Linked DNA regions of Stegostoma tigrinum. The protein of the gene in region 1 purifies or fractionates together with the protein of each later gene. This does not show direct contact. Links are inferred from orthologs where the notes say so. Each region holds a gene or a part of one and is shown in the gene's direction. Other genes may lie near its edges.

The links.
Region 2: the proteins of rnps1 (region 1) and phosphatidylinositol 5-phosphate 4-kinase type-2 beta purify together in Homo sapiens (co-immunoprecipitation; 3 studies listed by BioGRID and IntAct, with this or other methods). This does not show direct contact. The link is inferred for Stegostoma tigrinum from reciprocal best matches to the Homo sapiens genes RNPS1 and PIP4K2B.
Region 3: the proteins of rnps1 (region 1) and prpf6 purify together in Homo sapiens (co-immunoprecipitation; 3 studies listed by BioGRID and IntAct, with this or other methods). This does not show direct contact. The link is inferred for Stegostoma tigrinum from reciprocal best matches to the Homo sapiens genes RNPS1 and PRPF6.
Region 4: the proteins of rnps1 (region 1) and srrm1 purify together in Homo sapiens (co-immunoprecipitation; 4 studies listed by BioGRID and IntAct, with this or other methods). This does not show direct contact. The link is inferred for Stegostoma tigrinum from reciprocal best matches to the Homo sapiens genes RNPS1 and SRRM1.

What each region holds. Positions count from the first base shown.
Region 1 is NC_081376.1:32,312,553-32,319,643, reverse strand, and holds the start of rnps1 (RNA-binding protein with serine-rich domain 1), read left to right. Parts: upstream 1-4,089; 5' UTR 4,090-4,222; coding exon 4,223-4,224; intron 4,225-7,091. UniProt on the Homo sapiens protein: Part of pre- and post-splicing multiprotein mRNP complexes. Auxiliary component of the splicing-dependent multiprotein exon junction complex (EJC) deposited at splice junction on mRNAs.
Region 2 is NC_081384.1:7,308,578-7,316,483, reverse strand, and holds the start of phosphatidylinositol 5-phosphate 4-kinase type-2 beta, read left to right. Parts: upstream 1-4,906; 5' UTR 4,907-5,172; coding exon 5,173-5,304; intron 5,305-7,906. UniProt on the Homo sapiens protein: Participates in the biosynthesis of phosphatidylinositol 4,5-bisphosphate. Preferentially utilizes GTP, rather than ATP, for PI(5)P phosphorylation and its activity reflects changes in direct proportion to the physiological GTP concentration.
Region 3 is NC_081372.1:31,363,134-31,370,025, forward strand, and holds the start of prpf6 (pre-mRNA-processing factor 6), read left to right. Parts: upstream 1-3,872; coding exon 3,873-4,042; intron 4,043-6,892. UniProt on the Homo sapiens protein: Involved in pre-mRNA splicing as component of the U4/U6-U5 tri-snRNP complex, one of the building blocks of the spliceosome.
Region 4 is NC_081377.1:23,968,268-23,976,076, forward strand, and holds the start of srrm1 (serine/arginine repetitive matrix protein 1), read left to right. Parts: upstream 1-4,797; 5' UTR 4,798-4,864; coding exon 4,865-4,885; intron 4,886-7,809. UniProt on the Homo sapiens protein: Part of pre- and post-splicing multiprotein mRNP complexes. As a component of the minor spliceosome, involved in the splicing of U12-type introns in pre-mRNAs. Involved in numerous pre-mRNA processing events.

The sequences.
Region 1 (7,091 bases):
TAGAATCCAATAAGTCTCTCTTTCTATGATCAATATAGATTATAAATAGTTGAAACCCTTATCTGTTCCTTGTGCCATTCCTGTGGTTACAGCTGTTTATTTCTATATTTGTTTTCTGTCTATTAGCAAATTTTCTATTCATGGTAATGTATTCATGCCAACTCCATTAATCCTTAGCATTTAAATGATCATTTGTGATGCACCTTATTGAATACAGTTTGGGGAATCAAAGTATATCAAAGTGCATTGTTAAGATGTCCTCAACAATAAATTCTACCATATTCATGACAATTTATGTTGGGCTTGTAATTCTTATTTTCTCTTCCCTCCTTTCTTGAATAGCAGTGTTACATTTACTAATCTGTTAACTCAAACCACTGAGACCTTGTGGAATCTACAGGACTTTAAAATCAAAACTAGGGCATCTGCTATCTCTGCAGCCACCCTAGCTCCCCACAAATGTAAGCCATCAGGTTCTGGAGATTTGTCAAGTTTTAATTCCTCAAATTTCTTTAATAATTTCTGCTGCAAACATGAATTATTCAAAATGTCTGATTCTTATTAGCTCCTTGGTTAATCTCTAGCTTTGAGGTATAATTTGAGTGTTCTGAAGGTAAGTTAGACAAAATATTTATTCAATCCGTCATTCCTCTTGAGAATGAATTTGCTTCCTTGAGACTTTTACAAGCCAAATATTTTCTCATTGCGTTTTGATCGTCATTTGATGGTTTCCAAAAATCCCCCAATTCAAAGGCTTGCTTGTATTTTTCACAACAAATATGCCATTTCTGTAATACCATAAGTGTTCAAGCCCAATGTCTCGGGCACATAATTTGGATTGACACTCTGTGCAGTCCTGAAGGTGGTGCTATACTGTTGGAAGTGATATTTTCAGGGGAAACTTTAAATTGATACCCAAAAACAAAAACAGAAATTGCTGGAAAAGCTCTGGAGGTCTGGCAGCACCTGTGGAGAGAAATCACAGTTAATGTTTTGGGTCAAGTGACCCTTCCTAAGAACTCCGATTTCTGTTCAACAGCTGCTGCCAGACCTGCTGAGCTTTTCCAGCAATTTTTGTTTTTGAGGTTGGTGACTTGCTTGCGGAGCTGGTTGGCTATGATACAGACATTTCGTGACCATGCTAGGTAACATCAACAATGTGGCCTGCGATGAAGCGATGTTGTTCTACCCTGCTGGGTATTTATATAATTTGGTCTGTTGAGGTGGGTTGTGTCATTTCCGGTTTTGTTCTGCATGGACTTGTATATGGGGTCTAATTCCATAAGTTTGTTAATTGCATTACGGGTTGAAAAACAGGCCTCTAGGAATTCCTGTGCATGCCTGTGGTTGGCTTGAGCTAGGATGGCCATGTTGTCCCAGTTAAATTGATCACAAGAAATCACAGTTAATGTTTTGGGTCAAGTGATTGCTACCGTGATTCCTAGTGGTCATAGGAGTCTCAGCAGTTCTTACATCTTCTTGATATAGAGTAGTGTGGCCAGTGTATTGGGGTGTATTGTGTCCTCTTGGCACTGCCAATCTAGTGGGCACCTGTGGGTGAAGTTGTTGGAATATCTGTTGTTAGCAAAAGACCTTGTATAGGCGCTGTTCCTACTTCCTGCGTAGTTCTGGCATGTTGCATTGGTTCGTGGCCCATTTGAATAGTGTCCTAGATTTGTTTGGGGTGATTGCTGTGGAAATTGAGGATTTGGTCAGTGTGGGCTGCCTTCCTGTATACTGTGGTTTGGAACTCCCCATTGGTCACTTGTTCTACCCTCATGTCGAGAAATGGAAATTGATTGTTGTCTTCCTCTTCTCCTGTAAATTTGATCCCAGTGAAAATGTTGTTAATGAGATCGTGTGTCGCTTCTAACTTGGTGCGTTTAATGATGACAAACGTGTCGTCCATGTATCTGGTCCACAGTTTTGACTGTCAGGCGGCAGGAGTGGGGGTTAGTGTGTTCCAGACCTTGTATTGACTGCCCCTGCAATAAGTCCTGAGATGGGCGACCCCACAGGTTTACAATTGATTTGTTTGTATATTTGGCCATTAAAGATCAAGTGTGTGGTGACGCATAGGTCCAGCGGTCTGAGTATGTTGTCCTTGCTGAAGGAGCTGTTTGAAGTTCAGTGTTCCTGCTGTATCCAGTAATGTGGTACGTCAATGGACATGAATAGTGCTGTGACATCAAAGGATACCATAATCCCGTCATCATTGATTTTAATGTTCTTGAGGTAAAGGGTTGAGTGGATGGAGTGAGGTGACCATCCTGGTTCAAGCCAACCGCAGACATGCACGGGAATTCCGAGGGACCAAGTATTTTACCCTTAAAGCAATTAACAAACATGTGGAATTAGACCCCATATACAAACCCACGCAGAACAGAGCCAGAAATAACACAACCCAACTTAATAGACTGGATGGTACAGTGGCTCAGTGGTTAGCACTGCTGCCTCTGAACACCAGGGACCTGGGTTTGATTCCAGCCTTGGGTGACTGAGTTTGTGGAGTTTGTACATTCTCCCTGTGTCTGTGTGGGTTTCCTCCAGGTGCTCCGGTTTCCTCCCACTGTCCAAAGATGTGCAGGGGAGGTGTATTGGCCATGTTACATTCCTTATCATGCCCTGGCATGTTTAGGTTACGTGGGTTAGATATGAAAAATGCAGGGATCGGGGAATGGGTCTGGGTGGGAATGCTCTTTGGAGGGGTGGTATGGATTTGTTGGGCTGAATGGCCAGCTTCCACACTGTAGGGATTCAATGATGATCTTGTGTGAGATACCAAATGGAGTAGAACAACACCGCTTGATTGAAGGAACTGATATGTTACCTAGCACGGTGACAAAACGTGTACATACACTGGGCAAGCTCCCAGCCCGAGCTACAAATCTTTGCAAGTTTCTGATTTACACCAACTGCAGGTCTTCCGTTTTCTTTAAAAAAAGATTAAATTGAGACCCTCGTTTGCCCTCTGGGATGGATTTCACAACATTTTTGGAAGACAATCAGGAGCGTGCCCTCCTACATTTTTCCATCCCCACCCCTGTCTGCTTTCCGGAGAGACCACTCTCTCCGTGACTCCCTTGTTCGCTCCACCCTGACCTCCAACCCCACCACACCCGGCACCTTCCCCTGCAACCGCAGGAAATGCTACACTTGCCCCCACACCTCCTCCCTCATCCCTATCCCAGGCCCCAAGATGACATTCCACATTAAGCAGAGGTTCACCTGCACATCTGCCAATGTGGTATACTGCATCCACTGTACCCGGTGTGGCTTCCTCTACATTGGGGAAACCAAGCGGAGGCTTGGAGACCGCTTTGCAGAACACCTCCGCTCAGTTCGCAACAAACAACTGCACCTCCCAGTCGCAAACCATTTCCACTCCCCCTCCCATTCTCTTGATGACATGTCCATCATGGGCCTCCTGCACTGCCACAATGATGCCACCCGAAAGTTGCAGGAACAGCAACTCATATTCCGCCTGGGAACCCTGCAGCCCAATGGTATCAATGTGGACTTCACCTGCTTCAAAATCTCCCCTTCCCCCACCGCATCCCTAAACCAGCCCAGTTCGTCCCCTCCCCCCACTGCACCACACAACCAGCCCAGCTCTTCCCCTCCACCCACTGCATCCCAAAACCAGTCCAACCTGTCTCTGCCTCCCTAACCTGTTCTTCCTCTCACCCATCCCTTCCTCCCACCCCAAGCTGCACCCCCATCTTCTACCTACTAACCTCATCCCACCTCCTTGACCTGTCCGTCTTCCCTGGACTGACCTATCCCCTCCCTACCTCCCCACCTATACTCTCCTCTCCACCTATCTTCTTTTCTCTCCATCTTGGGTCCGCCTCCCCCTCTCTCCCTATTTATTGCAGAACCCTCACCCCATCCCCCTCTCTGATGAAGGGTCTAGGCCCGAAACGTCAGCTTTTGTGCTCCTGAGATGCTGCTTGGCCTGCTGTGTTCATCCAGCCTCACATTTTATTGTCTTGGATTCTCCAGCATCTGCAGTTTCCATTATCTCTGAGTGCCCTCCTACGCCGGGTTCAGCGCATATCCCGACCCAACGACAGTGCAGCGTGCTCTCTCACTCCCCCCGGTGGTGCTCACCAGTATCGCAAATGTTTGTGTCATGACGCAGCGTGCGACGGGTGACGCGGGTTGAGCGGGACGGTTTTGCGGCCCAGGCAGCGGCGAGCGAGAGCGGATCGAGAGCGGAATGTGAGTGGACGGGAATCCATGTCCATCGGGGCCAGGGGCCGCCTGACTGCAGCGACAGTTGGCTTCTCGCGTTCGGGGTGGACTGTGTTCACTGCACTGTGACGGCTTTATAAGGATGAATAGCCCTTTGTACAGTTGGAATCTCGGTGTAGAACGGAGCCCGAGGCCTAGTGGAGCGAATCTTATTGATTAGTGGGGAGGGGGTTGACCGGGAAATTCTGCTATATCCCTGGGCCTGTTGTTGACACCTGACCCCGGGGTTGTCCCGCTAACAAGCCTACCTGCCATACTCAAGCTGTTTCCTGTCTTTCCCCTCTTACTGAGGTGGTTACTGGGACACCTTCCACACACCCATGAATACTCCCAATACCTCACCTTGAACAAGTTGGGTCCTGTCAGTAGGAGATTATTTAAGGAATTAGTGAATGTAACATTGTAAATATTAGATTAACGATGGAAAAGGACAAAGAACAAACCAAAATAAAAAAAACTTAATGAGGTGGGCCAGTTCTGGATAAATTAGAATCATATACTGTGATTAAACTCTGGGCAGCTGTTGAAGATAATGTACTTGAGGTACAGTTGTTGGAAGTAGATTCCTCTGATGGAATAATAGGATAAACAAAATACTGTCTAATCAAATAGAGAAAAGATTGATGTCTACTTGGTGTAGTATCTTTACCATAATGAGGTCTGAAAGTGCCTCATAGGAGTATTCTAAAACTAAATATGACCATAGAGTTATGTAAGGAAATATTAAGTAAAATGATCAAAATCTTGGTCAAAGAGATTACAAAGGTGGAAGGGCTAATGACTTGGAAGGATTTGAAAATGAGGGTTTTTAAAATTCATCACAGGATGAGTGTGTTGCTGGCTAGGCCAGCATTTACTGCCCATCCCTAATTGCCCAGAGGGCAGTGAAGTCAACCACATCTGCCTGACAAGATAAGGATGTCAGTTTCCTTCCCTCAAGGACATTAGTGAACCAGATGGGTTTGTCTGACAACTGATGATGGATCATGATCATCACTAGACACTTTCCCAAAATGTTTAAAAGTTAAAATTAAGATGTTGCTTGACTGGGAGCAACTGAATTTCAATGAACACAGGAGTGACTTGCTGCCAGTTAAGAAATGAGCAGCATAGTTTTGGATGATAAAAAGTTTGTGAAGGATAAATTGGGAGACCAGCCAACAAGCTTGTTGGCATATTAAAGCCTGACAATGATGAAGGCAGGAATATAAAACAGTAGAAGAGATGTGTGACAAATGTCATGTTGATAATACAAGTGAGAATCAGCTGCTTTGGAAAGGTCAGAGGGGAAATGAAAAAGGAAACAGAAGGAATGGGAAGAGACTGGCAGCTATCGTTAAAGACCACCCAAAACTATTTAAATAGTGAAAGGATGATAAAACAAGACTATTCCCATTTTGAGACCAAAAGAGAGATTTATGTATCGACATGAGGTGCTATGTAAGTACTTTGCACTGGTCGTTACTGAAGAAAATTCTGTGAAAGTCATCAGCCATCTTGTCATAACGAATGGCAAAGCAGGCTCAAAGGGCTGAATGGCCTATCTTTGCTCCTATTTTTGTGTATTTTTATATTTCTAAATGGAGGTGGGTGAGATGATGAATGGGCCAAAAATTGACAAAACCTGGCGGTCTTTAAAGTTGCTAAGTCACCAAGACTGGAGGAGATGTATCCAAGTATACTGGGGGAAGTCAGGCCAAAATTTGTGGAAGTGCAGGTCATAATCTTCTAAACTGCTTTCAGAGGTGATGGCATGGCACTGGAGAAATGCCAGTGTTTGACTCTTGTAGAAAAATCTTGTAAGCATGAACTCAGCAATTGCAGGCCAGTCATTTTAACCTCAGTGTTGGGGAAGCTTTTTAAAAATAATAATCTTTGAAAAACTGAGTAACTTGAAAAAGTTAATTAATTAAAATCAACAGAGATATGTTAAAGGCATATCATGTTTAAATTATTTTGATGAGGTGATGGATAGTTAGAGAATATTGCATTTGCTATGGCATGCATTGACTTTAATATGTTTGGTAAAGTGTTACAAAATAGGCATGTCAGCAGAGTTGAAGGCCATGGAGTATAGTTAACAGCAGCAGCTTGGGTGCAAAGTTGGCTTAGTGAGATGATCGTGGAATTGGAGCTTACACAGTGGGTTCTCTAGGAGAGTCATTGTTAGGACCATTGCTTTTCTTGACTGTATTAATAACTAGAATAGTTGGGGGCACAGAGCATAATTTCAAAATTTATAGATATCACAAAATTGGACATTGGAGTGAACAGACATGTGGAATATGAAATTTATTGCAGGCAAGTGGAAAGTATCTTAGTAAGAAGAATGAGGAGAGGCCACAGAAAATAAAGGGTATAATGTAAGGGGGAGCAGAAACAGAACTGCGTATATATCTATAAGTCATTGAGGGTGGCAGGGCAGGTTGAAAAAGTAATTTGAAAAGGTATACAGGATCTTGGACTGTATAGAGTACATAGGGAAGTTTTGATGAACTGTCATAAAACTCTGATTTGCCCTCAATTTGAATATTGTGTATTCTGGGCAATACATTTTAGGAACCATTTGATGGCAATAGAGAGAGTTTTGAAAGGTCCATAAACATAGTTCCAGGAATGAGGACCTTCAGTTACATGGAGAAGTTACATTGGAGAAGATAGATTGGGGCTATTTTCATGAGAGAAAATTGAGAAGACATTCAGTAGCAATGCTCAAAATCAGGAAGGGAAAGAGTAGACACAGGACAGAGCATTTAGAAACTTACCTGTTAATAGTGTATGTGCGAATTAGAAGCGAATGATTTAAGATAATGAACAAATTCATAAAAAGCAAG
Region 2 (7,906 bases), on another chromosome or scaffold:
CTGGAGTCACCAGACTAGATAAAGATGGCAGTTTCCTTCCCTAAAGGACATTAGTGAACCAGATGGGCTTTTCTGACAATTGACAATGGATTCATGGTCATCGTTAGACTCTCAATTCCAGATTTTCTGTTTTATTGAATTCAAACTTCTCTATCCACCTTGGTCTCTGGATTAAAAGCCCAGCAATAATACCACTGGGCCATCACCTCCCCTATTCTGCTCCTAGTTCTTCTGATGTTATTGAATTGTCAAGCAAGCCTCAGGGACAGCATGACCTACTTCTGCTTATACTTTTTATGTTCCTGCATATCACTGTGGTTCAGTTAGTTGTTCTCTCGTTTCTGAGTCACAGCAGTATGGGTTCAAGTCCCACTTTAAGATATCCAGAGATAACAGAGAACCAAGTTAACGGTCCAGTGCAACAATAAGGGAATGCTGCACTGTTGGGGATGTATGCATAGCAAATCATGCAGTTTAAAAGTCATTCATCATATATGAAGCGCTGCTGATTGTTTCTCAGAGATATCAGAATGAGCTCAAGAAATTTGCATCTTTCTGATGAGTCATACAATTTTATTTTATTCCACCGAATGTTTTGACAAATGGTTTCCAAACAGTTGCAAATGCATATCTCATTGGAAGTTCTATTTTGGATATGGTTCACAAAGCAGACCAGAAGAACGCTATGTGGAAATCACATGATGCTCCGATTGGAATGCATTTTGAGCGTTCTGTCAAATTTTAATCATTGAGTCACAGAAGGAAGACTGATATTTCCTGACAGAGGACTGAATTATAAGAAAGAAAGTCAGACTTGCATTGCTGTAGGGAAATGCCAAAGTGGTCTCCAGCTAATTCAGCGTTTTCAAACTGTATACCTTGGATAATGGCTATCTTGATTAAGTCATTTCTTAACAAAAAGCAAAGAACTGCAGATGTTGGAAACCTGAGGTAAAAACAGAAGTAGCTGGAGAAACTCAGAAGGTCTGGCAATATCTGTGAAGAGAAAGCAGAATCAATGTTTTGTGTCCGGTGACTCTGCCAGAGTCATAGGGACGTATAGCATGGAAACAGATGCTTTGGTCCAACTCATCCATGCCCCCAAGATACCCTAGATAAATCTAGTCCCATTTGCCAGCACTTGGGCCATATCCCTTCAAACCCTACTTATTCATATACACATCCAGATGCCTTTTAAATGTTGTAATTACACCAGCTTCCTCCGCTTCCACTGGCAGCTCAGTCAATATATGCACCACCCTATGTGTGAAAAAGTTGCCCCTCGGCTCCCTTTTAAATCTTTCCCCTCTCACATTAAACCTGTGCCCTCTAGATTTCAACTCCACCACCCTGGGGAAGAGACCTTGTCTATTTACCCAATTCACGCCCCTCACGATACTATAAACCTCGATAACATCACCCCTCAGCCACCAACACTCCAGAGAAAATAGCCCTTGCCTATTCTGCCTCTCATTCTGTTGAAATTTTGACTCTGCTTCCTCTCCACTGATGTTGCCAGACTGTTTAGTTTCATTAGCAATTTTTGTTTTTGTTTCAGATCATTTCTTGCTGTGTATCATACAACGAAATGCTCTAATATTGAAAAGTGACCAGTCTACCTGTGGAAAGATAAGGTGTTAAAATGTTTGAGCAATGGGAGAAACTGGCTCTTTCATTTGCAGTCATAAAGCCAAAAGCTTTAGTTTGAGCTATAGGGAGAGGCTGAATAGACTGAACCTATTTCCCCTGGAGTGTCGGAGGCTGACGGGTGACTTTATAGGGGTTTATAAGTATATGAATGACATAGATAGGGTAAATACACAAAGTCTTTGTTGGGGAGTCCAAAGCCAGAGGGGATAGATTTAAAAGGGACTTAAGGGGCAACTTTTTCACACAAAGGTGTTATGTGTATGGAAAGAGCTATCAGAAGAAGTCGTGGAGGCTGGCACAATTACAACAATTAAAAGGTGTCTGGATGGGTATATGAATAGAAAGGGTTTAGAGGGATATGGACCAAATGCTGGAAAATGGGACTAGATTAATTTAGGATATCTAGTCAACACGGATGAGTTGGACTGAAGTGTTTGTTTTTGTGCTGTACATCTCTATGACTCTATTAGAACACATTCTGCCTATCATGCAAATCAGTAATTTGGTATAGGATTTCAGGGCCAGATGGATGCCAGTATGTAGGTGATACATCCATGGACTGGCAGATCATATCATGCAGGGTATCTCTTTAGTTGTTCCCAACAAGTAAGATACTGGCTGCACACTTAATCAACACGTAATTGCACAAATAATAACATTAGATGTGATCCTGCAAGAGGACACCATTTGGTGGATAACCCTTAATGTCACAAATAATGCTGACAAGCAATTTAGATTTGTCAGTCAGGCTCACAATATGGTGCACTGGCATATATTGGCAGCTGCATATATTAATCCACAGGCCCTGTTCTTTGTAGACAGAAAATAATATGTACATGTACTGTCCCTGTTTCCACACTACAAATAGCTCATAGCTATTTGCTGCTTCATTTCTCAGGACAATGCCCTGACTAATCAGAGTCAACCTGCTTGGTTTAAAATATAAATAAAGGCTGCTGTTAACTGTCAAACATCATTAGAGGGTGTATTCCATGTGGCAACTCTCTACCAATCTGAGTTCACATGCCAACCAATCAGCACTCTCCTCTCATGCAGTACAAATAATGGCTTTCACCTTGAATTGGTAATCTTGCGAAGCATCCTGATAAATACAAGATGAAAAGCTTTGACAAAATGTGACTTCCTCAGCTCCACAGGAGAAATATTGACAAGGACACAGGTGACTTTCCTGTTCTTCTTTGAATAGCATCACACCATCTTTTATGTCTATCTAACAATGTGGATGAAGACTGCACTTAACCTGAAGCAGAGGGTTGCAGCAGTCCAGCACACACTCAGGACTGTACTAAAGTACCACATAAGGTTATGTGCCCAAGCCTGTGCAACTGGCTGGGGGATGGAAGGGTGGGAGGGTGCCGTGAATAGACAACTTTCTGAATGATTGAAAGGTTTCATGTCTATTCAGAAATCAGTAGTAGGAGAGGCTAGGACTCAGGGCACAGCCTAAGGGTGAAGGGACAACCTTTTAGAACTGAGATGAAGATGAATTTCTTCAGCCAGAGGATGGTAACTGAAATAACTCCCAGAAGCTGGTAGCCCATTACCAAGTCACCCTTTATTTACATCCGAACAGTCCTTAATAGTGCATAGAGCTGGATGAACAAAGCAGGCCAAGCAGATTTTCTGAAGAAGGGCCTAGGTCTGAAACGTCAACCTTCCTGCTCGTCTGATGCTGCTTGGCCTGCTGTGTTCATCCAGCTCTTCACTTTGTTATCTCAGATTCTGCAGTTCCTACTATCTCTGAAACAGCCCTTAATAGTATTGCCTCATCCAGAGTCAGGCACAAGTGTCAGTATCCCTGACACCCAACATTTTTGTGTCAGCCAGGGCTCCCTGATCGGACTAGATTAACAGCCCCAATCATGGAACTAATATTCCATGATGTCCAGGATAATAAAATGTGAGGCTGGATGAACACAGCAGGCCAAGCAGCATCTCAGGAGCACAAAAGCTGACGTTTCGGGCCTAGACCCTTCATCAGAGAGGGGGATGGGGGGAGGGAACTGGAATAAATAGGGAGAGAGGGGGAGGCGGACCGAAGATGGAGAGTAAAGAAGATAGGTGGAGAGAGTGTAGGTGGGGAGGTAGGGAGGGGATAGGTCAGTCCAGGGAAGACGGACAGGTCAAGGAGGTGGGATGAGGTTAGTAGGTAGCGGGGGGTGCGGCTTGGGGTGGGAGGAAGGGATGGGTGAGAGGAAGAACCGGTTAGGGAGGCAGAGACCGGTTGGACTGGTTTTGGGATGCAGTGGGTGGGGGGGAAGAGCTGGGCTGGTTGTGTGGTGCAGTGGGGGGAGGGGACGAACTGGGCTGGTTGAGGGATGCAGTAGGGGAAGGGGAGATTTTGAAACTGGTGAAGTCCACATTGATACCATATGGCTGCAGGGTTCCCAGGCGGAATATGAGTTGCTGTTCCTGCAACCTTCGGGTGGCATCATTGTGGCAGTGCAGGAGGCCCATGATGGACATGTCATCAAGAGAATGGGAGGGGGAGTGGAAATGGTTTGCGACTGGGAGGTGCAGTTGTTTTTTGCGAACTGAGCGGAGGTGTTCTGCAAAGCGGTCCCCAAGCCTCCGCTTGGTTTCCCCAATGTAGAGGAAGCCGCACCGGGTACAGTGGATGCAGTATACCACATTGGTAGATAATTCCATGATCTCCAGCTGGTTTAGCTCATTACAATCGCTACAGTGACTCTTTAGAACTCATTGCCACTGAGGGCTGTTGTAGTGATTAGAACCAGGGCCAGGTGGATCCCATTGACTATGAGATCCTTTGGTTGAGGTTGTTAACCTGAGTTAATCAGGGAGTCCTGGCTGACGGATATTAACAGGAGATTCAGAGGGTCTACTCAGTCTACAGACTAGCTTTGAGTTGACTAGTTACAACCCATGTATTGTGCACATGTAAATAAAGGGTGACTTAGTGATAAGATACCAATCTCTGTGTAGTTATTTCAGCTGTAGAGGCCAAGTCAGTGAGTGTATTAAGCTAGAGATAGGTAGATCCTTGACTACTAAGGTGATCAAGGGATACGAGCAGAAGGCAGGAGAATGAGGTCAAGAAACATCAGCCATGATCAAATGTCAGAGCAAACCCGATGGGCTGAATGGGCTAATTCTGCTCCCATATCTTACTGTCGTCCGGTACTGGTAGGTGGCAGTGTCTTCCACTGTGTGGAAGAACAGTTGTGTTCATTGGGTTGTAGACACGTCTTATAGCAGCAGGGGGAGCAGCCTTATTGCTTGGAGAAAGAAGGCGAGAGAGACACCGAGACAGACAAACAAGAGACATTCATAGGGTTTTTAGTTCTCACTCGTCCACTCATGAGGAGGTACCATGACATTTTGGTCTCACGTTTGCAATGTGCCGTCAAGCCTAGGAATTTAAAGGCTAACAATTAACAAATACCAGAAGCAAGGGGAGGTGCAAAAGGAAAATATTAAGGTCCTTTTTCTTCTTGCATTTGGTTTTTTGAGGGGGGGGATTAATTTTGTTTTACAAAAATGGCAGCCAACTGTACTGCTAGTGCCAGCAAGACAAAAACCAAGAAGAAACACTTTGTGGCTCAAAAAGTGAAGCTCTTCAGGGCCAGTGAGCCCCTACTCAGTGTCCTGATGTGGGGAGTCAACCACACCGTGAGTAAGATCAAATCTGTCTTAATTATTGGAATGATTATAATTTATTTATTCATGCATCTTAAAGAGGATAATGTACTTTGATACGGGGAGCTGGAACTTGAGAGAGTGATGGTTTAAGATGCGCAAACGTTTAATATTCTTTTTCTTTTAGACCTTAATTTAAGATTGTGCATTTTGCAAGAGAAAACAAGCTTTTAAAAATGATTTTCAGTTTAATTTTTAAGGATCAATCTAGCCTTTTTGGAGGGAGGGTTTGGAGCTGGAGGCCTATTACATTTACAGGAGATCTTTTAGGAGGGAACCTCATCTAATAATGAATGACAAGTAAATATATTGTTGCTGAACAATGTTTTAATGACTTAGATTGTTTTCATTAATAAAAATGGAAAGCAGAAATGCATTTTTTTCGTCTTGTTTAAGATCCAGTTTAGGGCGGAGGGAGGAGTTGGGTTTCAATAAAGAAGCAAAATTAATAATTTTACTTCGATCAGTTTTTTTTAAAGCAGGGTTTATTTATTGGAATATTTAGAGCTACTTTTAGGCTTAATTATTTCGGGCTCGTGTACATTTTTTTCCCCTCGGGTCCAAAGAGGGGTGGTTTTATTTAGTTTCCATTTTAAAATTATAAATAATAATTATTAATATTTAAATCTCTCATTGTCAGTGGTGGATTGCTTTCTCTCTAGATTTTCGTCTTTTTTGTTTTTCGTCTCATTTGACTTGATTTCTGACTAAGTTTATTACAAACCAGTGGAAAGGAAAAATCGTCGTCTATTATTAATAAAACTGACTTTATCGGAGTCGTCTCATTTTTTAAAAAAATTGTCCTCCCCTCTTTGGGTGCAATCTCCGGATTCCAGCAACTGTCCCTTCAGGTCGAGCTCTCTACTCAGGCAAATCCGAGGCTTCTGCGGCCTAGCTCGACCGAGCTTGAGGTTTTATCTATCACAATAATTGTTTAAGAATGCTCATGGGCATCAAAATCTCCCTTCCAAACAAATCCACGAGTTTAAGGAGGCAGGGCAATGATTTAAGCGAGTATTTAGTTATTTTGGGGGCCGCATGTGTTAGTTTTGCACAATTGTGGGTTATGGTTTATAATTTGTTTTGTGTTTTGGGTCCAGTAATTCCCGTAATTTGATGATTTCACTTTGGGATTACAGCATTTAGTGTAATGTTACGTTTTCAAACAAGCTTATGACTGAGTGTATGTATGTATGTGTGTGGAGAAGCTCATGTTTAGCGTCCTGATACCGTCTGGTTTATAAAGAGGCAATAAAAGTTCCTGAAGCTACAAATGTCCATCTTGATGCCAAAGTGGTGAACCCAATTTTTTTTTTATAAAACGTCAATGAATTTTTGCTAGGTAAGGATATTGAGGGTTATGAGCCAATACAAGTATGTGGAGACTGTGTTATCTCAGTAGATAATGGAACTGTTTTGAGGGACAGAATGGCCTCCTCCAGTTCCAGTGATGCTGATGCAGAGCATCTGAGGATCCTTCATTGTGGGGTGGTGGAGCATTGCCAGTAGTACATTTGGAGTTAGAAGGCAGAACTTGTGGTTTCCATTTGGATAGCTCAGGAGCTACCTTATAAATGCTAGCCCTTGTTTAAGTGGATTCACCCAGTAATATGTGGTGGATGGTTTGGATTTGAAGAATTGATTTTGTTTTGAATAAAAAGTCTGACTGTGGTGTAGTGGTTTAGCTAGTGATTTTACAATCTACCTATTCCTTCTGGAAAGTTCTTGGTTCACCTGTTCCCCATGTTGGCTGGGAAATGCAGTAGAACGCCACAGTTACATACTCACTGTGATCCTTCCTTCTCCCTGGCTGGCTTTTCTCTCACCAAATGCAGTGACTGGACTGAGACTGCAATCAGCCCCAGTACAGATGGAGAACTGAACCTGGGTCTTTCTTTATCTGTTTTATTTTGCCCATTGAACCACCAGAAGAACCTGTGTTTGTGACTTTATTTTAATATTGTTTCGAAATCAGTTCTGCATCTGTATCTGTATAAATGTTTCCACTTCTGAGGGGTTGTAAAACGACAGGACATAATATAAGAATGTTACTAACAAGTGTCTTCTAAGTAACTAATCATTTTTTTAAATGCATAAGTTAGTTAGAATGTGAATCTCTCTCCTAATGAAGATGAGACAAATAACTGATATAAGAGACAGAATTGAAGTGTGTTGGATAAAGTAGAGACAGTAGATAGACGTCAGTTGGCAAAATGTCCCATCTCTATGCTCTAAATTCCATGTAATTCTGTAAGGAAAGAAATATGAATACGTCAGTGCTACTTCTGTAAATTAAGTTTGTATCCTAAAGTCTACTTCTTTTAATATGGATTTCAGGGGAGTGGTAATGTTGTAATCCATAGTAATCAAGTCAACAGATCGTTGTCTGAGTGAAGTATCCTCAGGAATTAATTAAACAATACTTGAGCATTTCAGGCACGGGAGAGAATGGCCTGTTTATGTTGCTTGCAGAATTTCACCCTGCAATTGTGAGTGCCTATGCCACATGGATTGCAGTGGTTCAAGAATCTTGAAGAGATCTAGGGATGGGCAATTACTGCTGGCCTTAGGCATG
Region 3 (6,892 bases), on another chromosome or scaffold:
CGCTCTTTGGTCTGCCTGAAACTTGCTGGTTTTCCAGAGCAAGGAGTTGACTCCAACTGTGTGTTATAGACTGGTATGTTACAACGGTCAGGATTACATGCTGAGGCATGCACTGAAGCTTAGAGCAGCTGCTGCCAAGGCACAGTGGGGAAAGACCACCATCTAAGACCTTTCTGCCAAAGTTAAATAGAGGCCTAAAGTAGTTCTGTACAGTCTTTACATATCTTCTTTTGTCTTTCAAAAATATACTTTATTCATAAAAATCTTTTTATACATATGTAGTTCCTGGAGCAGTTCGATTCTGTATAATCTCAGCATATTGAGAACAAACAAACATTGGAGGTTTGACTCTCCTGACAGTTTCAAAAAGGCCAAAGGCATTTCTTACTTTTGCAAATACAATTTATATACGTTTGATGCACCAGGAGGACCCATAACTGAATGGATCCACATTTGACTTTACATTTTTTTGTTTCAAATATAATATTCAGAAAATACCTTTATACACATTTATAGTCACTGAAGCAATTTGGTTCTGAACAGTAGCAATTGAAGAAACAGTGTGTTTTGCATCAGGGTTTACTGTGGTGAAGGACATGACAAAAAAGGTAGGGAACTTGGGGAAATAAAACGTGATATCTTGAAAAATGTCCATGTTACTGAGGAGAAAGTGCTGGATGTCTTAAAATGTAAAAAGGTAGATAAATCCCTGGGACCTGATCAAGCATACTCAAAACCTCTGTGGAAAGCTAGGTAAGTGTTTGCTGGGCCTAAGCTGAGATATTTGTACCATCAATAGCCACAGGTGAGGTGCCAGAAGACTGGAGGTTGGCTAACATGGTGCCACCATTTAAAGAAGGTGATAAGGAAGAGCCAGGGAACTATAAAGTGGTGATACTGACATCAACGGTGGGCAAGTCATTGGAAGGGATTATGAGGACAGGATTTCCATGGACTTGGAAAGGCAAGGACTGATTAGGGATAGTCAAATGGCTTTGTGTTTGGGAAATCATGTCTCATGAACTTGACTGAGTTTTTTGAAGAAGTAACAAAGAGGATTGATGAACGCAGAGCGGACTTCAGTAGGTGTTTGACAAGGTTCCTCATGGTAGGCTGGTTGGAAAGGTTAGATCACATTGAATACAGGGACAACTAGCCTTTTGGATACAAAAGCACCTTGAAGGTAGGAGACAGAGAGTGGTGGTGGAGGGTTGCTTTTCAGATTGGACACCTGTGACCAGCTGTGTGCCACAAGGATCAGTGATGTTTCCATCACTTTATGTTGATTATATAAATGATTTGGATGTGGACATAGAAAGTATGGTTTGTAAGTTTGCAGATGACATCAAAATTTAGTGTAGCCAACAGCGAAGAAGATTATGCCAGAGTACAAAGAGCCTTGATAAGATGAGCCAACAGGCCAAGGAGTGGCAGATTGAGTTTAATTGAGATAAAAGTTGCATTTTGGAAAGGCAAATCAGGGCAAGGCTTAATAATGAGGCCCTGGGGAGAGTTGTTGAACAAAGAGACCTTAGAGTGCAGGTTCATTGTTCCTTGAAAGTAAAGTAACAGGTAGACAAGATAATGAAGAAGGCATCTGGTATGCTTGTCTTTATTAGTCAATGCATTGAATATAGGAGCTGGGTGGACATGCTGCAGCTATACAGGACATTGCTTAGGCCACTTTTGGAATACTGCATTCAGTTCTGTTCCTCCTGTTATAGGAAGGATGCTGTGAAACTTGAACAGGTTCAGTAAAGATTCCTTAGGATGTTGCACAGGTTGGAGTGTTTGAACTATTGAGATTTGCTGAATAGATTGAGACTATTTTCCCTGGAGCGTTGGAGGCTGAGGAGTGACCTAATAGAGTTTTAAAAATCATTTGTAGCATGGATTGGGTGAATAGGCAAGGTCTTTTCCCTGGGATGGGGGTCCAAAACTAGGCGGCATAGGTTTAAAGTGAGAGCAGAAAGATTTAAAAAGTACCTAAGGGGCAACTTTCTCACAGAGGGTGATGCACATGTGGAACAAGCTGCAAGAAGAAGTGGTGGGGGCAGGTACAATTACAGCATTTAAAAGGCATCTAGATGGCCATACGAATAGTAAGGGTTTAGAAGGATATGCCAGCAAATGGGACTAGATTAATTTAGGACATCTGGTCAGCATAGATAAGTTGGACTGAAGGGTCTATTTCCATGCTGTACAGCTCTTTGTCTCTATGACTCACCCAGCTATGCTATCCCTGTAACCATGAATTTCCCATGGCTACTCTACTTAGACACTATGGGCAATTTAGCATAGCCAATCGACCTAACCTGCACATCTTTGGACTGTGGTTGGAAACCAGAGCACCCAGAGGAAACCTATGCAGACACAGGGAGAATATGCAAACTCCATTCGGTCGCCGAAGGGTGGAACTAAACCCTGGTCCCTGGTGCTGTGAAACAGCAGTACTAACCACTGGACACGGCAAAAGGCTCTCTACAACACAGAAACAAGGCAGGAGAGAACAAGCAGCCTTGACTGACTCTAGATCTGATTGGAAAACTTTCTGATTCCCACCGATTGTTTGAGTCTGCAGTATTGATGTTGGTGTAGAGCCATTAGATCCAATTCGGATTTTCTTCCCAAAGCCCATTTAGAGAGAACATCCCGCATCGTGTCAAAGTCCTTTTCCTGGTCCGGGCTGATGAGGCAGGACCCCTGTTCTGCTTGTAGGTGATCATATGCCTGAGGAGCATGAGGCTGTCAGAAATTGTCCTGCCCAGTATAGCACAAGTTTTGTCCGGGTGAATCACTGATCCCAGAGTCATCCTGACATGACTGGTTACCAATATCTAATTTCTACCCATCCTCCCTTCGACTTTGAGATGAGGGTGATGACACCTTCCCCGTGGATTCTGACTTGCTGCCTGACAGAAACTTACTGTTGTATGCTATCTTGTTTTTATTTCAAAAATATTCATAAAAGTAGTTTGGTTCTGCACAGTTGCATATCAAGCAAGCAATCTAATCTAATCAAACAAAATACTTTCTGAAGAAGGGTCCTGACCCTAAATGTCAACTTTCCTGTTCCTCTGATGCTGCCTGGCCTGCAGTGTTCCTCCAGCTCCAAATTAGACCATAAGACATAGGAGTGGAAGTAAGGCCATTCGGCCCACCAAGTCCACCCCACCATTTAAATCATGGCTGATGGGCATTTCAACTCCACTTCCCTGCACTCTCCCCATAGCCCTTGATTCCTTCTGAGATCAAGAATTTGTCGATCTCTGCCTTGAAGGCATCCAGCATCCCAGCCTCCACTGCACTCCGTGACAATGAATTTCACAAGCCCACCACTCTGGCTGAAGAAATGTCATCTCATTTCAGTTTTAACTTTGTGTTGCGTCTGACTCCAGCATCTACAGTTCTTGTTATCTCCAAACAAAACATTAAACTTTGACTCTATCCCTAAACAACCTCTGTTACACAAAACTGGTATTCACATCTTTTTGAGAGTCTGACAACTGAATTACCTCCCTTCAGCTGAAAGACTTCAGACATGGTTTCTACATGCAATCAGTACTTCTCTGAGTTTCACTCTTCAGTTTTTAAATTTATTGCTTTTCCTCTGGTGAGAAGCTATCCTAGTTGCTTCATGGTGATTGGTTTGAGTTGGGAAAACTCAGTTTGGAGGCCAATATTTCAAGGAGTTGGTCACTGCAATAATCTGGTAGCTGCATTTGCTGCTGTCTTCCAGGTCCAATGTCAGAGAGCTGCTCAGGTATGTAAATAAGACGTAAACGAGGAGTCCCGATATGTTAATAAGATGATCACGTGCTCCTGCCGCGCTCCTGCCGTAAAGGCTTATGGGACTAATTCCTGCTTGCAAGATGGCGGCGGCGGTAGCAGCATCTTCGGTTGCTCCTGGCACTGGTACAGCTGCTGCACCGAGTGGGGTGAGCTCGGGGGGTCCAACCCTCACCGGGACCCTTAACAAGAAAAAGAAGCCGTTTCTGGGCATGCCTGCGCCTCTCGGTTACGTGCCGGGTTTGGGCAGAGGGTGAGTTTAATTCTGCATCTTCTGCTTTTCCTCCGTGGTGCTGCCTGTAAGTAAACACGCCAACCGCGACGCACCAAGGTGCCTAATTTAAGGATTGAGGCTGATCGCCGTAACTGTTCACACAGGCCCTGAAACGGTACCTTAGAGTCTGTTTTGTTTCTTATATATACTAGTTCAATTCTGCTACCATTTAAATTTTATATAAACATAGGAGCAGAAGGAGGCCCTTCGAGCCTGCTTTGCCATCCTTCACGATCGTGGATGATCGTCCAACGCAATAGCCTAATCCTGCTTTCTCCCCATAAACTTTGATCCAATTCGCCCCAAGTGCTATATCTAGCCAAATAAAAACCCAGAGAACTGCGGATGCTGTAAATGAGGAAGAAAAACTGATGAGATGCTGGGAAAGATAACTGTGGAGCTGGAGGAACACAGCAGGCCCGGCAGCATCAGTGGAGCAGCAAAGCAGGAAACATCACCTCCACACAGTGTTATCTCTGACTCCAGCATTGGCAGTTCTTTCTATCTTGGAGTTGCTGGAAAAGCTTAGCAGATCTGGCAGCATCTGTGAAGGAAAAAAATGAGAGTTCACGTTTCGGGTCCGATGACCATTCTGAGTTCCACCGGACTCAAAACATTAACTCTGATTTTTTTTCTTCACAGATCCTACCAGACCTGCTGAGCTTTTCCAGCAATTTCTGATTTTGTTTGAGATAACAAGGTGTAGAGCTGGATGAATACAGCAGGCCACTTTGCATCAGAGGAGCAGGAAAGCTGACGTTTCAGTTTTCTGTAGAAGGGTCTAGATCCGAAACGTCAGCTTTTCTGCTCCTCTGATGCTGCTTGACCTGCTGTATTCATCTAGCTCTACACCTTGTTACCTCAGACTCTCCAGCGTCGACAGTCCCCACTATCTCTTCTGTTTTTGTTTGTTCTATCTAGCTACCTTTTGAATACATTCAATGTTCTGGCATCAATTACTTCCTGTGGTAATGAATCCCACAGGATCATCACTCTGTGTGAAAAAATGTCTCCTCATCTCTGCCCTAAATGGCCTACCATGAATCCTCAGACTGTGATCCCTGGTTCTGTACACAGTCACCATTGGGAACATCCTCCCTGCATCAACTCTTGTCTAGTGTTGTTGTGATTTTATGTCTCTATGAGACACCACCCCCCCCCCAACTTTGCCTGAACTCCACGGCAAACAATCCTAACCTAGTTAATCTGTCCTCATACGTCAGTCCTGCTATCCCAGAACCAACCTCTTGTTGAAAACCCTGATTTATGCAAAAATGTCAGATGGGTAGTTTGTCTTCTTAAAGAAAATAACACAATATTCAACAGTGTGATAAAGCAACACCTCGTCCTATCCTATATTTCCTTGTGGCTGCACTTTGCAACAAGGAGCTGCAAGCTGTGAAGCCACCAAGCAGTTAAAAAATGGAACATATTGCAGCTTAAATGAGGATTAGTTTCAGATACCGAAACCCTGAGCCCAGATGATGTCTGAAAGATGTTGGGTGAATTTGTTTCACTATATTTTTCAAGATGCCCTCAAGTCCTGAACAAACGTTAATGAACTTATTAAAGTTTGCAAGGTAATGTTGAGCAATTTGACCTGTCCCCCATATGTGGGATTTAATGTTATAATCCAGAAGTGGTGAATGTCGCTGTATCCAGTTGTTTCCTTACCTGACATAAGCCAATATAAGAGTTGATTCTGGGAGGTGTTTTAGGACTAGGCCATTCGCCTCCTTAAACCTGCTCTGATGTTCAATAAGGCAATGGTTCATCAGATGATAATTTCATTTCCACTTTCTTGTTTACCATATAACCCTTGATTCCTTTGTCGATCAAATTGTATTTAACTTGATTTTGAATGTTGTCAATGATCCAGCTTCCACTGTTCTCTGTGGAAGAGAATTGCACGGAGTAATGGCCTACCAAGAAAAATGAAAATTCTCATTCTTAAGTAGGCAACATTGTATTTTAAACTATATCCCCTAATTCAAGTCTCTACAACAAGAGGAACCATTACCTCAAATTTTTTATGTTTTCATCGGACGTACATATACACGTGAATTAAGAGCAGGATTGTGCCTTTTAATGCCTATAACATTGAATAATTTTTCATTTGCCATTGAATAATTTGATCATGAGCTCAACTCCACATCCACACCACCTTTATGACAATTAACTCCCTAATTAAGAATCTGTCTATCTTGGCCCTAAAAGTGGTCAGTCATCCTGTATCCTCTGCTCTCTGAAATAATTCTAAAGGCAGGCAACCCTCGTTTTAAAAAAAAATCCTCCTACGTCTTAAATGAGACCCTTTTTAGTTTTAAACTGTGTTCCTAGTTCTAGTCTCTCCTAAAAAATAAAATATCCTTTTAATGTCCACCCTATCAGGTCCCCTCAGGATCTCGTACATTTCAGTAATTTGTTCTCGTGTCCAGTAGGTAAAGCCTCAACCTTTTCTCATGAGAAACAGTTAATCCCCAATCGCCATTCAGCTGTCAAATGAACCTTCGCTGAACGTGTACATCCTTTCTTAAATCCGAACTGTGTACAGTACTTCAAGTGTGGCCTCACAAACACTCTATAACTCAAGCAAAATATTTCCAGTTTCTTTTTCAATGAGATCAGCTCTAATTCTTAAGGTTCAATGTGTACGTGCCAATCTTTCACCATAAGACTCTTCCTTTATCCCAGAATCAACCAGCTGGACTACTTCTGCTGTGCTATTAATGTGGTTACATCGTTCCTTAAATAAGGACGCCAAAACTTCTAGATCTGGTCCTACCAGTGCCTGTACAAAGTTCAACCTCCTCACCCCACTTTTATAAT
Region 4 (7,809 bases), on another chromosome or scaffold:
AAGCAAGGTCAAAATTGTCAAGCATTGCTTAGAACGCTCAAAAACCTAATGCGGCATGTTTCCTCTTCTATAAAACTAACATTCTCATATCCAACAAGATGGCCTTTAACTTCATTTAATTTGACAGTTGTATTACAGTCTTTTAGAACACCATAATTAACTGACATAATTAGCAGTCTTTTAGAAATCACATGATGATAACAAGTGAACTAATGATCCAATTGGCATTGTGGGTCAATCTGCAGCATGTGGACTGCAGCAATGGCTTAAGATGATTCGTCTGGTTGTTCATGTTCACTTGTTCAGAATTAAGTGATCTGTTGTGCATAGGTTCCTCAATGCAATAACCAGCTCTGCATTGTAAAGACTCCGCAGTTCATCAAGATGAAATTTGACACTCTGCCATTTCACTGTCATTTTTCACTCACGCCTGTCTCAACTTCTGCTTTCAAAAGATTTTCACAATTGTAAGAGGAATTTGGTGCGACGTGATATTAGTCTTTGTGCTGGACTACTTTCCATGCCTCCTCTAAGCACATTGTCCATTCAAAGATTACCTTGTGCAAGTCTGTGCTGGATTTCTCAATTTCTTCAGTTTTAGATTTGATTCGCTAGAGTGTGGAAACAGGCCCTTCGGCCCAACAAGTCCACACTGACCCTTGAAGCATCCCACCCACACCCAAACCCTAAAACCCACACACCCCTGAACACTATGGGCAATTTAGCATGGCCAATCAACCTAGCCTGCACATCTTTGGACTGTGGGATGAAACTGGAGCACCTGAGGAAACCCATGCAATCACGGGGAGAACATGCAAACTCTACACAGACAGTCGCCCTGGACTGGGATCGAACCCTGGTCCCTGGTGCTGTGAGGCTGCAGTGCTAACTACTGAGCCACCGTGCCACCTATATTCCTTTGGCGATTTTCACTGCTACCTGGCCTTTCCATTTGAGTGGGAACGGCGTAGTGATGTTGTATGGTGTTAAATTGACCTATCCTTTGTGAAGTGCCTGAAGTCTCCCCTTGGAAATTGAGGGCCATTGCCACGTATCACAATATCTGGAATGCTGTAACAACTAAAGAATGCTTTCAGGTATTGTATAATCTTAATATTAGTTGTTAATTTCAGTCAATATAAATCCCAGTAGAGTAATTAATGGTGACAAGATAAAAAGACAAGCCCCTGTGAGAGTGGAGGAGCCTACTACAAGCTTCATCCATGATCAGGCTGGGATGTGATATGACCAGCTTTTGACATCCAGTGATGTTACCATCACTGAATCCCCCATTATCAACTTTGAAGGGGTTACAATTAACCAGAAACTCAACTGGGAATTGCCACATAAAAGCCTGTCCACCATCAACAAGGCACAAGTCAGGAGTGTGATGGAATACTCACCACTTACCTGGATGAGTGCAGCTCTAACAACACTCAAGAAGCTTGACAACATCCAGGGCAAAGCAGCTGCTTGATTGGCACCATTTCAACAAGCTTCCACTCCCTCCACCACCCATGTTCAGCAGCAACAGTGTGTACTGCTTACAAGATGCACAGCAGATTATTCACCAAAGATTGTTAGTCAGCACCTTCCACACCTACTATAATTTTGATCTAGATGAACAAGGGTAGCACCACTTAATGCATGTTCCCCTCCAAGACACTCTCCGTCCTGACTTGGAAATATCTTGGTGTTCATTTAGTGTTCATGTGTCAAAGTTCTGTAATCTCCTCCCTAATGGCATTGTGGGTCAACCTGCAGCATGTGGACTACAGCGGTTCAAGAAGGCAGATCACCACCACCTTCTCAAGGGCAAGTAGGAATGGGCAAGAAAACTGGCCAGCCAGCGATGCCCAATTCATGTGAGTTATTTTTAAAAAAACCATAAAACCATCAGAAATAGGAACAGGGATAGGCCATTTGACTCCTTGAGCCTGGTCTGCCATGCAATCGGATCATGCTGATCCAATATGCCTCACATCCAATTTTGTCCTTTTTCCATGATCCTTGATTCCCTTGGTGATCAAGAATCTATCAACCTCAATCTGAAATATACACAGAACTCTGCCATACAGCTCTCTGTAAAAAAATTCCAAAGAATTTTTGCCCACTTTCTTAACCATCAATATTTCTCTGTAAACTGTTTGTATCCTTTCTGGAATCTGTCTTTCTACCTATTTCCGTGTTGTCTGCAAACTTGGCTGCAGAACATTCACTTACTTCCTCCAAGTCGTTAATATTTATTATGAACAGTTGCAGTCCCAGTACTCATCCTTGTAGAACCCTATGACCGACAGCCATACTAGTATGAAAACACCCAATCTTGTCTGATCTCGGAAGCCAGGCAGACCCAGGCCTGGTTAGTACTTGAATGGGAGAGCACCTGGGAATACCAGGTGCTGTACCCAGATCCTGGGGCAGGTTAGGCAGAGACAAGCACAAGAATTCCTAGAAGTATGGCACTCCAAAAGCCTGCTATTAATAAACACATTGAACTCAACCCCATTTCCATTCCACTACGAAGGAAAAACCAGAAGTGAGGTAATCCATCGCAACGGACCCCAGAGTTTAAAAACTAGGTGGGGAAACACACCGACGCTTAATTGGAGGCTGCACTGAAGATGTTAACCAGCACAGTAATGAAACATCTGCAAAACAAGAAACCAGCTGGGCGAGCCATCCAACCTCAACAACCTCAATTACACACACTCATGTTGCTTCAATCTTGCAGGAAGTTTGTCATGGTTGTCAGCAGCCCTCAATCAAGTGAAGGGTGACAGCCTTCAGTCAGAGGCTACCAAAATAGTAAATCAAGGAAAATCTCCAACACCAGTCCAAGGACATAGCACGGTCAGCCACCTGGAGCAAAGTCAGCATCCTTTCCTCATTGGGGGTAAGCACCTGACTGCTGGCCAGTCCACCACCAGTCTTGACCATTTCTTTTCCATTGTAGACTGTTTTTCTCCTGGAATGAGAGAGAGGCAGGTACTAAGGCAGATGAAGCTGGGTGGCACACTTACATTTTTTACTTGTGGGGAGATGTCCTGGTCGAGGGAGTAGACAGCACCGAGGGCATGCAGGCATAGAGATGCTGGGGTTTAGTGGGATGATAGCGAGTGAGGGAAGATGTTGCAGGCCTTTGTGGGAGGTGGGTACAATAGCTGGGACTGAGCGAGTGTGAGATTTGGAAAGAAGATGGTTGCACTGACTCTGGCAGGCAGGAGAAGGACATTGACTATACATTCCCGCAGACAGCTGATACTGCTTTAACCGGGCGGCAATTTTAACTGGGCGGCAATATTGGACCAGGCTGCTTGTTCTGGGACCATGCTGTCCTCTCCTGGAGAAGTGGAAATACCAGCTTTACATCTCTCTTTCCAATGCAATCTCCCAAGTCTTTGCTTGCAAAGTGAGGGACCGGTTTCCCCTATAACAAATTGTGAAGCTGGATGAACACAGCAGGTCAAGCAGCATCTCAGGAGCACAAAATCTGATGTTTCAGGCCTAGACCCTTCATCAGAGCAAGTCTAGCAGACTCTAGGCCCGAAACATCAGCTTTTGTGCTCCTGAGATGCTGCTTGGCCTGCTGTGTTCATCCAGCTTCACACTTTGTTATCTTGGATTCTCCAGCATCTGCAGTTCCCATTATCACTGGTTTCCGCTTGTCTGTTATGCCAGGGACGAATATCAGGAACTGTGCACACCAGCTCTAGGTGCCTGTCTGGGTGCACAATGGACTTTCGAAGATGGAGTAGGTGCAAGGGATTTTGGTTAATTTCAGGACATCCCATGGGTGGCTGAAACAACATGTGGCATGATGGAAGTGAAATTGAGCACAATTTTTTTCACCGTGTTGGGGGCTGGAGGGGATGATGGTGGTCAATGAGTTGAGTTTGGTAAGATACCCACTATCTTTGTGATGAAAAGCTCTCTAAGAACACATAAAACTCATATTTAGCCAAACAAATTTAAGATTCAGCTCTATATTTCAAATGATGCTGATTCAAATGACTGCCACAGATTGTGTGTAAGGACACTTTCAGTGGAAGTAGTGATCACATGATATTGTCAGCCCACCCTCTACACCAAGGTTACAAATGTATTTCTGCAAAAGGACTTATTTATGAGGATGGCAATGTACCAGCAACATGTGGCCTGTACTATGACGTTCAAGTCCACCCTAAAGTTAAGGTTTGGGCCTCATTCATCTTCATGTGAAAAGCTGATGGCAGCCGCTGTGTCTCCTCATAATGGTCATCCATTTTGGAAGAAGTCTAATTTTGGCTCATTTGCCTCACCAGTTGCAGACCAAAGCCAAGGAGTAAAAGAAAGATGTTTGGGGATTGGGGAGTGGTTATCCATAAAGTGGAATTAGTTGGTCAGGTTCGGTTAGAGATGTTGCGGCCCCGTGTATCGTTTAGACTACACGGGTTAAGTCTCTTGTAAGACGAGTCATTGCAAAGATTTGAAAAAAAATGCATATGCTCCAGAGTGAAATTTGTTATCAAGACTGCTCAAAGACGTATAAATGCGTGACACAAGACTGAAGTGGATCATATTATTAAATGGAAATTTTATGAGATTCAAGCCACTCAGGCAGCACGTGTTTGAATTTAACTTGTTGTTCTGTTGCTACAGTATTTGTGAGTGAGTGCTCAGACAGAACAGCAAATCAACGTCTGGTTCCGTCTCCCGGGCTGCGAGGCTTCGGCTGTTTCCGCAACAGGGGCTGCGAGCGCTCGGCTATTTCCGCCATGCGGCCTGTGCGGCCTCGGCTGTACCCGTGTACCGGAAGCTCCTTGAAGAACGAACGGGTAAACCGGAAGTGGGTGATCCGGCAGCCCCTCCACAGACAGACAAGATGGACGCGGGGTTTTTCCGCGTAAGTAGAGCAGCAACCGAGTAGAGCTTGTTTGTCGAGCCCGATTGGAAAGCTCATCCATTGTAGTGGTGGCCGGAACAATTCAAAGGACCGGCGGACCTGTTCTGGTTGTTTTAAATGCATAAAACTCGGGTCTTTTCCCTGAATACACGTAACTGCGGATTCGGCCTTAGCAACCGAGCGGGAATGAAAATGGCGGCGGGTGGCAGGCTTTTGATGGAGGGGAGGGAGGCAAGGGAGCCGTACTGTGGGTTTGGTTTTTGTCTCTCCAGCTCATCTGTTCGTCTAATTTAATTCATTGCACCTTGAGTGTAGCTAGGGAGCAACATGTCTCATTTTAGTTCTGGACGAAACCCGGGCAATTTTATTTTCCTTGAGGGATCGGTTCTAATGCGGCAGCCAGTGGAGCCGAAGCCCAGCAAAGTGCCTGACCGACTCTTAACACAAATCTTAACTCCGTGGTTCGAATCTTAATCCGGTTCCTCCCTGTTGTTTTTTGGAGCTCTTCTGGCTTTTGCACCGAATGTTTCAAACGGTATTTTTGTTTCTGAGGCGCAATTGAATGACTCCATTAGGGCCTGGTTCTCCAGCATGGTCGCAAATAGAGCGTCGTGTGGTTCGAGGCTGAAAAATGGACCCAAGCTATCTACCACGCGAGGGGAAATACAGTCACCTTTAAACAATCAAAGTACTCGTTCGTTTTAGATATAATAGACATCCAAGCGAATTCATGACTCGATTAATTTCAAAGCAGATATAATCCGAAGTAACACTTCAAATATTTTATTTGGAATTAGAGATAAAATTGCTTTAATGTAGAACAGATTATCGGGTGAGCGAGTTACAGTTTGTGCTGGATTCTAGATTTGTGTTTTTTGTTTAAAAATTCAAACTAGATTCAGTAGTAAAACGTCTTTAACTTGCTGCAGTATTGTATTGTTTCCCTTTATTCTGACCAGAACATTGTATGATTGGAAAGTCCAGATTTGTATGGTACATATCAGACATTTAAGTGTTAATACAAATTGTAAGTAATGAAAATGGAGCAAGTTGCAATTTATTTTTGGAACTGTTTGACACTCAAAAACTTGTTCATCCCTTCAGTGCGTTGCTTTTATCATGCTATCTGACGTTTTGGTTGACAGTTTTTGCTTTTTGGTGACACATAGTAAAAGCTGGTTTCTTCTATTTTGGCCATTTCAGAAAATCTAGTGCTTAGCTTATCATTAATTTGTTGCAAAATAATCTTTTTTAAGAAATGAAAAATAATCACAGAAACAAGTTTGGCAGTAGCAGAGAGTAAATTTATTTCAGATCTATGATCTTTCATCAGAGGTAGGGGGAATGTGATAGGTTTTTTAAAAGTGAAGTGGGGGGAGATTGATGAAAGGCTAGATCTGATAGCCTAATCTATCCCACCTCCTACCCTATTTAATGGGATGTGGGTATTGCTATGAGGCCAACATTTATTTCCCATCTCTCATTTCTCTTGAGCTGAGTGACTTGCTGGGCTGTTTCAGTAGCTAGGAATCAACCACGTTGGCCAGACCAGGTAAGGATGTTGATTTTTAATGGCAATTGATACTTTTATGATTGCCAGTGCTGAAACTAGTTCTGTATTTCAGATTTGAATGCACTTTTGCTGGATACTAACTGATTTTTGGATTACTTTATCCATTAAAATTAATGACAGCACTGTATCTTTTTAAATGACAAAAATGATCTTGCAACAAAACTAATGGGATTGATAACGGAGTAAATAAAAACAAAATGTGCCTTGGGGCGATGTGATTGGTAGGATCATAAAATCCAAAAGAGAGCCAAGATAAATTAGAAACAAACCTGCAAGGGGAAAGAACAGGACCAGAGGTTATGATCTAAAGCCCCTAATTAAAGCATAAGATGATGATCCTTGAGCTAGTCTTGGAATGCATCAGATGACTGACAGTGGCAAAAATCAACGGGAATAATTTGTAGATTTAAAATGATCAGTGACTGGAAGCTTAGGGCCATGTTTTTGGACTGACTGTAGAAAGTTGTGCAAAGGGCCTGCTTGATTTACATTTGGTTTCAGTATGAAAAATTATCCACATTGTCAGTGGAATAATTAATTGAAATTTCAAGTAAATTGATATTTCACCTGGAAGCATTGTTTGGGGGTTTTGAAGATTACAATTGAGTTAGAGAAGGGTAGGTATTTTATTATGCATGAGGGTTGTGGAGGTGACTGAGTAGTAGGTCTCTAAGTTGCAGAGGACATAATCCTTTTCTATTTATTTGTGAGATGTGAGCATCACTGGCTAACCAGATTTATTGACCATCCCTAGTTTCCCTTGTAAAGGAGGTGGTTAGTTGTAGCCTTGAACTGCTGCAGTCGCTTGCTGCGCGTTGACCCACACCACCCTTGGGACAGAATTCCAGGAGTTTGACCCAACAAAAGATATATTTCCAACTCAGGATGGTGAGTGACTTGGGGAACCTGTTGATGTTCCTGTGGGTCTGCTGCCCATTTCCTTCTAAATGGAAGAGGTTGTAAGTTTGGAAAGTACTGTCTGAGGATCTTCAGTGAATTTCTGCACTGCATCTTGTAGATAGTACACATGGCTGCTAATGATTGTCAGTGGTGGAGGGAGTTGATGTTTGTGGATGTGGTGCCAATCAAGTGAACTGCTTGTGTGTTGTCAGAGCTGCGCCCATCAGTCAAAAGGAAAGCATTCCATTACATTCCTGACATGATTTGAGGTGTCTGGCAAGTAACTCACCTCCTTAGAATTCCAAGCTTCTGACCTCCCCTTGTAGCTACTGTTTATGCGGTGACTTCAGTTGAGTTTCTGGTCACTGGTAACCACCCAGATGTTGATAGTGAAGGATTCACAATGTCAAGGGGTGGTGGTTACATTGTTTGTTATTGGCGATGATAATTG